3 linked regions of the Caenorhabditis elegans genome follow. The protein of the gene in region 3 purifies or fractionates together with the protein of the main gene of each other region. This does not show direct contact. Each region holds a gene or a part of one and is shown on either strand. Other genes may lie near its edges.

Region 1 (5,000 bases), on a different chromosome or scaffold from region 3:
TGGCATTGATGTTGTGGTGGTGGTGTTGGATGAACAGCCGAACAGAGCATTGTTCCAGCACGTTGGAGAGCCATATCATTGTTATCACGAGCGAAGAAGTTGAAGTAAAGAACTTCATCGGGGACATTACAGATGAATGGTGGGAAGTAGAAGTGGAATTCACAAGCATCTCTGTACATTCCACTTGATCCGTAAACCTCTGTTTGAACTCCGTCGCGGATAGCATAAATCTGAAGATTGGCGTGCACGCGGTCCATAGAAATGAATTCGGGGTAGTTGGAAACATGGAAAACAGGAGAAGCATCAAAACCAGCAACTGGTTGGCGGAGAACTCCGGCTGCAGAAGTGAGGGTAGTTGCGAAAGACCAGAAAATGTCATAGTCTGGATTGTATTGGCTCATTCCACCAAGGTTATACTTCTTCTGGTATACTTTGAAGGTACACGCAGAGTTTGGTGAGTCGGAAACCAAATTGAAGAACCATTGTCCAGCGAAGATTTGGTTGGAGGTCCAAATGTAGTTAACACCATCATTGAATGCAACAAAGAAGTCAGGGTGTGCTCCGGTTGGGGTTGTGACTTGAAGTTTCAAGTTAGATCCTGTAGCAACAACGACAACTTGATCAGCAGTCACGTCAACTGCAACCGATTTGTAGATGTTTTGATTAGCACAGTGAGAGTAATCTCCAGATAGAGCAAGTTGAGAGCGGAACAACGTGTTGTACATATGAACGTAGAAGAACTTAAAATATAATGCATTAATATTAAAGAATTAAAGAAACATACGTTGGAGATAGTGGTTCTGTTGTTAAAGTAGAACGTGTTTCCGCTGGACATCGCAGCCATATCGACCATATCTCTGTACCCAGCACTATCGGGTGAAGTATTGCAGCCACTTCCAATTGCTGGTTGCACGTAAATGAAGTAGACCTGAAACATTCTGGTATTTTCGAATAACTTTAAATTTAATAAATTTTCCATACTGGTGCTCTCCAATAAGATTCCAAGTGTACAATTGTTTGCTTCTCAGTGCTATCATTTGGATTGGCATCAGTGATTACATAGATTGGTGATTTGTTAGTTGGATAAAGAGAAAGAGCAGATCTGTAAAACAACCATGAAGATTCTGTAAAACATTGAAAAACTAGTCGATACTTACGCAACAGCAGAGAAAACAACATCATCACATCCACCGTCGGATGGGGCAGAGTTAATCGCTTTAAGTAGATCAACCATAGCGGCATCCCATGAGTCATATCTCTGGTTTACCAAAAGCTCTAAAAATTAAAATATAATGCATTACCGTTTCCTGATAAGAAGGTAGGCTTATGGGAGCCACCCCGGTAAATTAGTTGCAAATCAACTCACTGGCGTTATCAAAGAGCACAACGATGAAATTAGTGAGATAGCCAGGCTCGGCAGATAGTTCATCGACAATTCTTGAAACTGAATTTGTGGCCTGTTGAATAACATCTGACAATTGGCTTCTAGAACGAATGACCAGAGTAACAGTCGGGTTTTCAGCATTGAAATCAATTCCGGATGCACCAGGGCAGACAACTGTAATGCATTTGTGATCAGTTTATTTTCCGAGGCGACTTACTATTTTGACAGTGGAAACCGGTGAATCCTTCTGGACATTCACAATGTTCGCTTGTGGGAGTTGGAAGGAATCCTGAAAAATAAAATATTTGATGACCAATTTAGGCTGGCTCAAAAAAGTGTCCTTTTTAGAAGGTTGTCTTTGTGTTATCAACCATGTAGCACATCAATGGCAACATAGCGTTTTCTATTTAACAGCTCTAGTTACAGTATTCACCTCCATTAGCACACAACATCTGAGAACAGTCACGTCCGGTGTATAGTCCAAAACAGTAACAGTATGGTGAACCACTGGAATCCTTCAAAACTTGACCTCCGTTCTGGCAGGTTGTCAATGGAGCAGCGGTTGTTGTTGGAGCAGGGACAGTGGTGGTAGACACTGGTGGCACTAAATTACTCAGGTTGATTATTGTTGTCAACTACGTTCACTTACAAATACATTGGTAGGGCAGAATACGACGGAAAACGTATCCGTTATCGCTCATTCCTTCAACCTGAACTTTTATGATTGCAATTTATATCAATTCATTGCACTTACCTGTAATAAATTGTGCCCAATATCGTTATTTCCAATTTTTCTGCAAGTATACCTCTCCAAAATATATGGATAAGTACAATTGAAGCGAGTTGCCATAGGAATGTATCTTGAGATATGGTTCTCGGCGCCAGTGAATCCAATCGCCTGAATTTGACCGGGAAAGTGTAGTCCTTGTGCATGAAGAACAACAGCTGATTCAGTGTCAAAATAGGCAAACTTGAGGGTTGGATAGTCGCTGCGCTCTGGTTGATCGCCTGATGTAAAACCTCCAGTAACTTGAATATTGGTATGAGCGGTCATCATCATAGTACAAAATTCATCTCCAGAATCAGCTCTTGGTCCGAGAAGATACTGGCCTGGCGCTAAAGTCTCATATGTTGCCACATAGGAAGTTACGGTTTTTCTGTCAGTGTCAGGGAAGATCAGATCTCCACTCTCAGATTGGAGGTAGAAAGTTGGATTCAATGGTGACTCAGTTTCGACCTCAATTTTGATATTCCGCATGGTCTCATCAACAACAACGACGTATGTTTGACTGCAGTTTGCAAGATTTGTTGCATCAATAGAGATATCGTCAGAATCCTTGTTATCAGGAATGTAAGGATTGCGAGCAGAGCACAATGCTAAGAAATTGCATTTTTAGTTTAAAAACACATATGTGATCCGACTTACGATATTGACAGGTGGCTCCTGTGTATCCTGGCTTGTTACATCCTCTGGTGGCCATTCCAGCAAAAACATGAGGCTCGGCGATAGATCTTTTGGAGATATGATGAGTATCAACCTGAAACCATATATGGAACATAGTTAAACGAAATCTAGAACTTACAAAGAGATCGGACTGCTCATCGAATTGAATCTTCTGTTCACTGACTGGGTGGAAGAGTTGATTACTGTTGGCCGGGTTCCATGACTTTAAGACTTTGCGGATTCTCTCTTTGTGACTGAGCTCAGGCTCAGCGCCCAGGCAGATCACGGCTAACGCCGCAATCAAAACCCAGCTTCTCATTACTGAAATTTCACATTAATTTAATTGCTCTTAAACTCCAAAAAAACTAAATATCGTAAAAGGTATTGAGTTCTGAAAATGAATGTGAAAAGGCAGGAGCAGCCTGGCAAATCTAATGAAATTATCATGAAATAATGATTTAAACCCTTTTTAATCGCAAAAGGAGAGTGTGTCCGGCACGTCATATCACCGTGGCAAACTCTTATCTTTGCCATCTCAAACAGTATTAAAATTTATTCCACGCCCTTTGCATTCTAATTGAGTAGTAGCAGAATAATGTCACAGAATACGATTTTGTATCATCAAATTATTATCAAGCACTTTCTGATGATTTCGACTTGAAGTTCAACCACTAGTAAAGTTTATTGAATTGCCATCACATTTCACTTTTGTATTATATTTTTTCTCTCGTAATTTTGATTTTTCGGTCCAACACATAAATTGTTAAATAATGATAAGTTTATTAAAATTCAAATTATTTCAGTGATTTCCGGGTCGACTGCCTTAGTTGTTGATACAGTAGACACCTCCATTGGCGCTGAAAATAAGAACATTTCACTTAATGAACACACTTATATATCTTACTTGGCATTGAGGATAAGTTGCTGAATGGTCTTAATTTGGTTATTCAAACTAGCAAAATCTGGAGCTGTAAACGAGCAAGCACTTCCTCCGGAAATAGTTTGCAACTTGTTGTTATCAGTCGCGCCACCATAACCAATAGTGATGATTCCGTATTGCTTCTGCGCGAGAATTGTCTGAGCTGCCGGAGTTGGATCGGTGTCGAAGCTAAAAAATATTAATTTTATCTGGCAATCTTTTGAACACTTACGCAGTAGTTGTAGTAAGGTAGATCAACACATGGTTGCTAATGCCACTACGGTAACCATTGTTCGCCGCCATGAAATCGGGAGAAGACACAATTTGAAGAGTGTAGTTAAGAATTTGCCCGGCGTCTTCAAAGTCAGTGTAGCCACCGCTGAGTTGGGCCAAGTTAGAGTTCAACATTGCTTGAGAGGAGAGGGAGTTCAGATTGGCAGCAGGAGGAATTGGGTTTGTGATATCACCTCCGACGACAATTAATCCAACACGAGCTCCACTCTGGCCAACATTGAACGAAACCATGAATGTTTGAACAAATTTGGTGAGCTGAAATTCATATGATGGAAACATAAAGGGCATATAATGTATACCGAGTCAAAGCTGGATTGTGCACTTTGTGATCCATCGATCATAAATACAACATCAAACTGAGCGGATGTGTATGGATTTTGGGTCTGTAAGTTCAGAATTTCTAAATCACCAGTAATACTTGAAATTTACCGTGGCGACTGGTCCCTGAGTTGGTTGAGTTCCTGGGACTTGAGTTTGCTGAGTTACTGGACCTTGAGTCAGCGCGGTTTGTTGAGTTGGCATGGTGATTGGGCCAATTGTTCCTGTTGCTGGCTGGTTGGTTGTTGGGCTACGTCCTGAAAAATTTCTTGCACAATTAAACAAGTAAGCGTATATTACCATTGCAGATGACAATTTCTTGTCTTCTGAACTTTTGGTTTGCTTCATCAACTCCATGAACATAGACGGCAATCATGTCGCCGTTGCAAGTGAACAAATCAGAGTAGTACTCGTAAGAGCAGCCTGCTCGAACGTAGAGCTCTGATCGGAGAATGTTCTGAAATTTTATCACTTCTGAGTTTATTCTCTTGTGAAGGGACAATTTTAATGTTGCTTACTGTGATTGAGTTAGCTCCAATATCGAAGATTTCTACATACTGCAATTGTCCTCTGTGGAATGGATTGCCAGCAAGATGGAAAACAGCGACATTGTCAAAACCAGCTGTTGGTTGTACGAAACG
Region 2 (2,968 bases), 1.9 Mb from region 3:
TCTGTTGAGACACTTTCTGGAGGTCAAAAGTCTCGATTGGCATTTGCTAATTTAGCCTTGATGCAGTGAGTTTTGCTTGAAAATAGCAACATTTTCAAAAAATATTCATTTTTTCCTAGAAAAAAAAATTTATTCAAACTCCGTCTAATTCATAGTATTTTTCAGGCCAAACTACTTGATTCTTGACGAGCCTACTAATCACTTGGATGTCGAAACGGTTGAAGCTCTTGGAAAAGCGCTTAATGTTTTCAATGGAGGTGTCGTTTTAGTTTCTCACGACGAGCAACTCATCGAGCTTGTGTGCAAGGAACTTTGGGTTGTGAAGGATCGAATGGTGACAACTTTGGAGGGAGGACTCGAAGAATACAGAAAGCAAGTCTACAAGCAGCTTCAACTCACTGCCTAAATTTTTCCTGTTTTGTTTCGCATTCGGTTGTTTCCCATATTTCACCCAGTTTCCACGTTTTGTTACACTATTTAAGAATTCAATTTATAATTTTTGTTGAGAAAAAAGTTTATTGCTTTATTAAATTGTTCACTTCAAAATTTAAGTATGAGTGAGAGCTCTAGCCTGGAAAATAATGCAAAGGTCTTCCTTGCTCGGGTCATCATGAAGAAGATACTCGAGTTGGTAAGGCTTATCGTTCTGAAATTGGGGGTTTAACTTTCGAAGAATACACATCAAAATAACCTTGAGAAGATTGATGATAGCTGGAGTATCAGAGAAGTCGAGTTCCAAATTGATGACCTTGTTTTTCGGTTCAATTGGGCATGGTACTCCGTTGGTACAAGCATCGATGTTGTTCCTGGAAAAGGTTACTGTAGGTTACTGTAAGAAGCAAAAATCTTACAAAAGTCCAAAAGTTGGTACTGAAGACCATCCACAAGTAGCCATATTCCATGACCAGACCTTGATAGTTTGTTTAAGTCCAGGAGTAGTATAAGTTGAGGATGGATCATTGATGGATGTTGCAATGAGAAGTGGTTCAGTAAGACGGATTGGATATTCACTGTTACCTGGATTCAATTATACATTCGTAGAAACTATCAGAAAACTTGCGAACCACTCTTATCAGTTGGATTAACATTGGTCACCATAACTGGTCCATTTGAGCATTGCCACCAGTTGACCTTTGTCTCTGTAGTATTCGGCCATTGATCGCATGCCGACGAGAGAGCAAGTAGGGCGAAGAGACACAGACAACGAGCAAGCATCTGGAATTGAAGTAGAATTTTTCGTTTCGAAAGCTAGTGGATGTGATCTAAGTTGGAATAAAATAGTGAATCTGTAATTGGTTAACTGGGAAATTTGAGAAAATGGAAAACTAAATTGCAAAATGATCATCAAATTCGATAGGAAAAACTACGATAAGAGAAATATCAAAGCACATGGCAATTTGAAGAAACCACGCGTTTTAATAGTTTTTTGCATGTAATTGTGATTCTAGAATAAAAAAGAGGTCACAGAGAACCGGAAATATCCACAGGAAGTACTCATTTTCATTGAAAAAATTTCATATGTATATTGAGTATTCCTGAGAAATGCACCTTTCGAAGTCTCGCCACGATTGAAAATTTTGCTCACTCGTGCTATGCGCCTTTAAAACTTGGGTACCATACATTTTTATTTTTCATTACTTTGTTCAGCAACTTTAGCTTTATCAGCGTCTTAATATTACGTAGACGTCAGAAGATGAGAGTTTCCGTCATAATTTACGCAAATGGGTCTCGCCACGCGGAAAGCGGGTTACTGTAACACGTGTCAATATGAAGGCCGCTACTGCACCATGTTTTTCTAATACAATGAATAACTGATTCCAAGCTTTTTAAAATAAAATTATGATACAATGGAGGCCTAAGAAATTGACGCGTGGTAAAGTAACTCGTTGTACTCATAAGATATGAAGAAAATTTTCATTTTTGACGTCTATGCGATTTTTATATTCTTCTTCTATTTTGATCATTAAATCCGATGAATTGAAGGAAAGACAAAGTTTTAAAAAACCTGTGCAAGCACGTATTCTTCATACTTCCAACTTTAGGTACTTATTGAAATTTCTCAGTTTTCAAACTATAACTGAATCGGGAAATTATTAATAATTTCTGATTCCTTGTTTACTTGTTTGATTTTTGGTTCATTGCCAAAATGGCAAATATGCAACATTTTCCAGTGCGAATAGTTCTTTTTTATCAAAATGTTATCGCAACTTTAGTTCGATTTCGGAAATTTTTCCTTCAAATTGATAATGAACAAAAACCAACAAAAAGTCAAGATTATGTACATTTTATTGTTGTTAAAATATACGCCCGTGTTATAGTGCAAATATAATTAGAAATCTTAAAGCCAATCGCCAAATGGGAAAGCATTTTACTTAAGGAAGGCCCAAGCCTGGACCATCATGCATGAGGTGTCTCCGGATTGGTTGTCGTGAAGGATGTACTCGAGTTGATATGGCTGATTGTCCTTGAGTAAGGCGATGATTTGGTCGAACTTGGTGAAGTCAATGATGACGTCAAGTTCTTGGTTTCCTGGACGGACTGGGCATGGGACTCCGTTTGCGCAGGCGTCAAGGTCCTTCCTGGAAGATGAATCGTTATTTATTATTTAGAAGTCGAGAATAGCCTAAACAGTTCACCCATTCTAATCCATTAGAATTAACTTAAAGATATAAACTTACAAAAGACCGAGAGTTGGGATTGAGCTCCATGTGCATCCGTTCCATCCTCCATACTTCCAGATATTGACGGTGTTACGAAGATTTGGCGACACATATGTGCTCGTTGGGTTATTGATTTGAGTCTTGACAACAATTGGCTGACTCAAATGAATTGGGTACTCGTATTGTTTTCCGGTAGAGTCGTATGGAGTAGCATTCAAAAATTGAACTGGTCCAGATGAGCACTGCCACCAGTGCATCACTTTGTCGGTTCCATTTGGTGCAGCACAGTCTGCCAAGTTGTCGACAAC
Region 3 (5,194 bases):
CGGTAAGTGTTCATAAAACAATTATTTTGTCAAAAATTTTCCAGCAACTTATACAATAGTAGATAATTATGAAAATTGAGAAATCACGTGATATCCAACTCTCTTAGTCTCAATGCAGCAACAAATAAAAATTCTCATCAACCACCGTAACCAACTATTTTTATTATCTCAAATCCCAAGTTCCCATACCATTAAAACTCGAGACTGTGCACATAATTGGATTGGATACTTGTGAAAAACTGAGTTGTATCTTACACATTCCACTCTTTCTGTTTTGGACAAAAAAATAGTGGGAAATTTATGTTTGAATAGAATTCGATAAATACATGTGTGTGGATTTTTTCGAAATTGGAAAATATTTAGTTTGATATTTTGTAATCATTTTCACAATTTTTTAACACGTTAAAAAACAAAAAAAAAGAATATTAAAAACCAAAACCAAATGAAGAAAAATCTGTACGAATAGAAAAGTTGCATAACACCCAAGAATAATAATAATTGGCTAAAGATGGAGAATTTAATAGTTGCGTGACGGCGGAACAAAACTAGATGACCATTTAGACGGTTACTCAATATATTTAATTGCACTTTTTATGAAGATGCTATGGTTTTTCAATGTTTTTTCTCTTTTTGAACTGTCTCGTATTGCAAGTTATGGCTAACGGAATCGAAAGTTTGAAAGAAAAAGGAAAATGGAAGATTCTTGATGTTTGCTAATATATCGTATTCTCTAAGGATTCCAACAAGAAATGCATCACGTTCACAGTTTGGAAATACAAGTTCTACCGTATTCTACCATAATTTCATTTCTCAAGCATTTTTTTTCCAAATTTCAATGTATAAAAAAGACACAACGCAAGACTTGCATCAACACCCAGGTGGTCTCTAACTGCCCTTTTTTTCACTTTTTTACCTCGAGAATTTTGGGAAAAAAAGTTGAAGGAGTGTCAAGACACATCTTTGGTTATGTAACTATTGCGTAATCGAGACTTTAGGCAGCATTCACGTAATTTGGAAATTTAGAATTAAATTCAATATGTAGAAATAAACGTTTGAAAGCTAGCAAATTATAGAGGGAAATAATATTTTTAGAGTTTAGATTTCTGTGAGAATTCTTGACAAATTTTTAGCACCTACGATCGTGATGAGAAATCAAATCAATAAAAATTGGAACTTGCGAGAACATAGCGAGACCTTAATTCACCAATTTTGAACAAATGTCTCGATTTAAAACTTGAAAAACGGAGTATTGAATAGATGAGCACCTACCTCTCATCTCCTCAACCGGGAGGCGTGATGTGGCTAGTGTTTGCGAACAACGGAAAAGAAATAAGATTGAAGAAGGTAGAATAGAAGAAGAAGTCAAGTGAGAGCAGGTAAAACAGTTCAGTGCACATATTTATGGAAAATGATGGAATGGAGAAACGGAATTTTAAAAAAATTTGAAATGATGACTGGCTTGTTGCAAGTGTTTTTCGAAGAATACCGTATTTCCTCTATTAGTAATTTATTTATTCAACCAACTTTTCCTTTTATTTTCTTCCATATCCTGACAGAAAATGCTTAGGTATGATGTTATGAATATGGAAATTTTATTTTTGAAAAGATTATATTCAATTTGATAGTTCCAGTAAACAATTAAACGTTTCGAATTCCAACTTTTTATTGATCTTTGCAGTTTCTCTGAAATTGGCTTTGTTATTTTATTTTTCAAACTTTGGCCCAGTATTCCTGTAAACTAAGAACCCAGTTTGCAAGTACGTCAGTCTAAAAGATGATTTAGTATTTCGAATGTAGTTGTGCCACGAATCAGTAAAATCATCATTTAAATGTGATAGCGAAAACGGAATTGAACTCGCAAATCAGCGATAAATTATTTGATAAGGAAAAGTGTATAAGTGGGTGCTTATCAACTGAAAACTCTTGCTTTATTTCACTTTTTCTTTTTATTCTAGAAAGTGGAAACATGAAGACTCTTTTGGCAGTGCTACTGGCAGGTAAATTTAATTTTAAACATCGTTTTAGAATTTCTGTAGCTACTTTCTCTTTGAGGAGCTTAAAAGTGAAGTTGCCCAGATTCAATGCCAGTTCCGTAAATTTCATGAGTCGTTTTTTTCTAAAATTCGTGACCATTAGGCTATATGGCCAGAACATATTTTTATTACTCAAAATCTAAAAAAACAAATTATGAAGTCTCACATATTTTTCTGGAAATAAGGAATCTGGAAACTGTTTTCGACGGGAATATACTCTATCTAGACCTAGATCTAGTCTAGCCAATGTTCTCAAATGTTGTATTGTTGAATCTTTCAAAAGAATTTTCTACTAATCTTTACAACGAAATACACAAAATTTATAATTCGTGGATTCATTTTTATCGAGACGAGCAACTGTCTAAAAACTAAGGTTTCAAAACTGATAACATTATTTACCATCGAATTAATAAATTTTAAGTTCAGTTCTATGTTTACCATAGTTTCTGTAGTTTCACACTGAATAACTTAACATTTCAGCATGTGTGCTGACCCAGGTATTGTCTGCTCCAAGCAATGAGCAGCGTGTTCGTCGTAACATGATCCGTGGACGTCCACGTGGAGGAATGAAGAAGACTCCACCAGTAAGTGTTCAAACATCCAATGTACAGAACAAAAAAAGTCTATTCCAGATGTCTTCCGTTTCTCATATGATCAACTTTGACAATGTAGTCTCATCTACTTTCACTCAAACTCTTGATCATTTTGATTCTTCCGTCGGAAAGACTTTCCAGCAGAGATATTATCATAACAACCAATGGTACAAGGCTGGAGGACCAGCTTTCTTGATGCTTGGAGGAGAAGGACCAGAGTCTAGTTATTGGGTTTCTTATCGTTAGTTTACTTTTTTATCATACAAGACATTTTATTTTTAAAGCTGGACTTGAAATCACCAACTTGGCTGCCAAACAAGGAGCCTGGGTCTTTGATATTGAGCACAGATTCTATGGAGAGACTCACCCAACCAGGTATTTCTTTTTACGAAATAACTCCCTATTATTAATGTTTTCCAGCGACATGTCCGTACCAAACCTGAAATACTTGTCTTCTGCCCAAGCTATTGAGGATGCCGCCGCTTTCATTAAGGCAATGACCGCCAAGTTCCCACAATTGGCCAATGCCAAGTGGGTCACTTTCGGAGGATCCTACTCTGGAGCTTTGGCCGCATGGACTCGTGCAAAGCATCCAGAATTGGTGTATGCTGCTGTTGGATCCAGTGGTCCAGTTCAAGCCGAGGTTGACTTCAAAGGTTAAAAAGATACGCAGCAATTTACTTCCAATTACTTTCTATTTCAGAGTATCTTGAGGTTGTACAAAACTCAATTACCCGTAACTCAACTGAGTGTGCCGCCAGTGTGACCCAAGGATTCAACTTGGTTGCTTCTCTTCTTCAAACTTCCGATGGACGCAAACAATTGAAAACTGCTTTCCAGTGAGTTTATTATGATGTATGCTTACTAGTTAGCCAAAGCCAAAAACCTCGAGTGAACCTTCTGTATTCCCCCCATTCCTGCGCGTTTCAAACTGAATTAACCGCTCTAACTTTTTTGAAACTTTTCTCTGGAAGTTCCAGTCTCTACATAGTTCCTTTGTCAGCTATTCTAGTCACAAATGTTTTGAGAAGTGCGTATAACTTGGCGTGTTCATTCAATGCGTCAAATTGAAATATATATTGTAAAATAAGCAACAATTTTTCAGTCTCTGCCAAGACATTCAAATGGACGATAAATCACTCAAGTATTTCTGGGAAACAGTATATTCTCCATACATGGAGGTTGTTCAATATTCTGGTGATGCCGCTGGATCGTTTGCCACTCAACTCACAATTTCTCATGCCATTTGCCGTTATCACATTAACACTAAATCAACACCACTTCAGAAATTGAAACAAGTCAATGACTATTTTAACCAAGTCAGTGGATATTTCGGATGCAATGATATTGATTACAATGGTTTCATTTCTTTCATGAAAGATGAAACATTCGGAGAGGCTCAATCTGACAGAGCATGGGTTTGGCAGACTTGCACTGAGTTCGGATATTATCAATCAACTTCATCAGCTACTGCTGGACCATGGTTCGGAGGTGTAAGCAATCTTCCAGCTCAATATTATATTGATGAATGTACTGCTATCTATGGAGCTGCATACAATAGTCAAGAAGTTCAGACATCTGTAGATTACACTAATCAATATTATGGAGGAAGAGATAATTTGAACACTGACAGAATTCTTCTACCAAATGGAGATATTGATCCATGGCATGCACTTGGAAAATTGACAAGCTCGAACAGCAATATTGTGCCAGTTGTGATCAATGGTAATCTTGAACTTTATGTACAAAAATAGTATAATTACATTAATTCCAGGAACCGCCCATTGTGCTGACATGTACGGAGCATCCAGCTTGGATAGTATGTACTTGACAAACGCCCGCCAAAGAATCTCGGATGTTCTTGATGGATGGCTTCATGCTAATTAATTGTTATGGATTTTATGTTATAGAAATGAAAATTTGACTCTAATATTTCATATCAACGATATTACAAAAATAATAACAATAATCTAAATGTTATAAATAACAAAAGGAAAACATTATCGTCTCGGTGGCAGCAAAATCTTCTGTTTCTCCTCATCAATCTCGTCTAAGATCCGATCATCGCCAGCCCAAATTGCTTCCAAATCGTACTTCTCACGGCATTCTTCACTCATTACGTGCACCTGAAGTATAGGCATTAAAAAATATAATATGTAGGAAGTAATACCTGAACTCTTTCCACCTCACTGACATACCATCCATTGCTTCGTTTTGTGCTCCTTCGTGCATGTGACATGGATCCATTCGACACTCCGTCAATTTTTAGAAGAGATCGAAGATTTTCAGAAATTGCTGAAGCTTGTCGCGAATTGAATGCTGAGCAAATTATCTGAAAATATGAGATTAATTTTCTCCTTACTGAATTACGAGGATTAATTACCTTATGTGTATACGGTGTCATTTCTGTTTCTTCTGATTTTACAACAAATACATCTTTTGCTCTTTGATCAGTCAAAGCTCCGACCACATTCTCTACAAAATCAGCGTCTTCTGACAAATTCTGGCTTCTGAATCCTGTCCGTTTTGGAGGTTCTTGACTTGTTTCGTGACTGGAAATGATTCCAG

Evidence for each region.
Region 1: the proteins of K12H4.7 (region 3) and hrg-11.2 fractionate together in Caenorhabditis elegans (co-fractionation; one large-scale study listed by BioGRID). This does not show direct contact.
Region 2: the proteins of K12H4.7 (region 3) and F42A10.6 fractionate together in Caenorhabditis elegans (co-fractionation; one large-scale study listed by BioGRID). This does not show direct contact.

Annotation. Positions count from the first base shown.
Region 1 is NC_003284.9:3,232,260-3,237,259, forward strand, and holds the start of hrg-11.2 (C-type LECtin), read right to left. Parts: upstream 3,150-5,000; 5' UTR 3,148-3,149; coding exon 2,968-3,147; intron 2,923-2,967; coding exon 2,811-2,922; intron 2,762-2,810; coding exon 2,139-2,761; intron 2,095-2,138; coding exon 2,034-2,094; intron 1,989-2,033; coding exon 1,818-1,988; intron 1,674-1,817; coding exon 1,602-1,673; intron 1,559-1,601; coding exon 1,367-1,558; intron 1,276-1,366; coding exon 1,158-1,275; intron 1,103-1,157; coding exon 982-1,102; intron 929-981; coding exon 785-928; intron 741-784; coding exon 1-740. Other genes in the region: Protein irg-7, read right to left, coding at 3,652-3,685, 3,733-3,936, 3,980-4,296, 4,341-4,424, 4,471-4,616, 4,660-4,816, 4,878-5,000.
Region 2 is NC_003281.10:6,175,647-6,178,614, forward strand, and holds F42A10.6 (MD-2-related lipid-recognition domain-containing protein), read right to left. Parts: upstream 1,216-2,968; coding exon 1,065-1,215; intron 1,018-1,064; coding exon 852-1,017; intron 807-851; coding exon 692-806; intron 647-691; coding exon 548-646; 3' UTR 511-547; downstream 1-510. Other genes in the region: abcf-3 (ABC transporter domain-containing protein), read left to right, coding at 1-65, 166-406; F42A10.7 (MD-2-related lipid-recognition domain-containing protein), read right to left, coding at 2,369-2,579, 2,679-2,968.
Region 3 is NC_003281.10:8,047,813-8,053,006, reverse strand, and holds K12H4.7 (Putative serine protease K12H4.7), read left to right. Parts: upstream 1-1,925; 5' UTR 1,926-1,966; coding exon 1,967-1,997; intron 1,998-2,513; coding exon 2,514-2,617; intron 2,618-2,665; coding exon 2,666-2,867; intron 2,868-2,910; coding exon 2,911-3,001; intron 3,002-3,046; coding exon 3,047-3,282; intron 3,283-3,329; coding exon 3,330-3,465; intron 3,466-3,731; coding exon 3,732-4,351; intron 4,352-4,400; coding exon 4,401-4,513; 3' UTR 4,514-4,557; downstream 4,558-5,194. Other genes in the region: mals-1 (Mitochondrial Assembly of ribosomal Large Subunit), read right to left, coding at 4,627-4,752, 4,797-4,958, 5,010-5,194.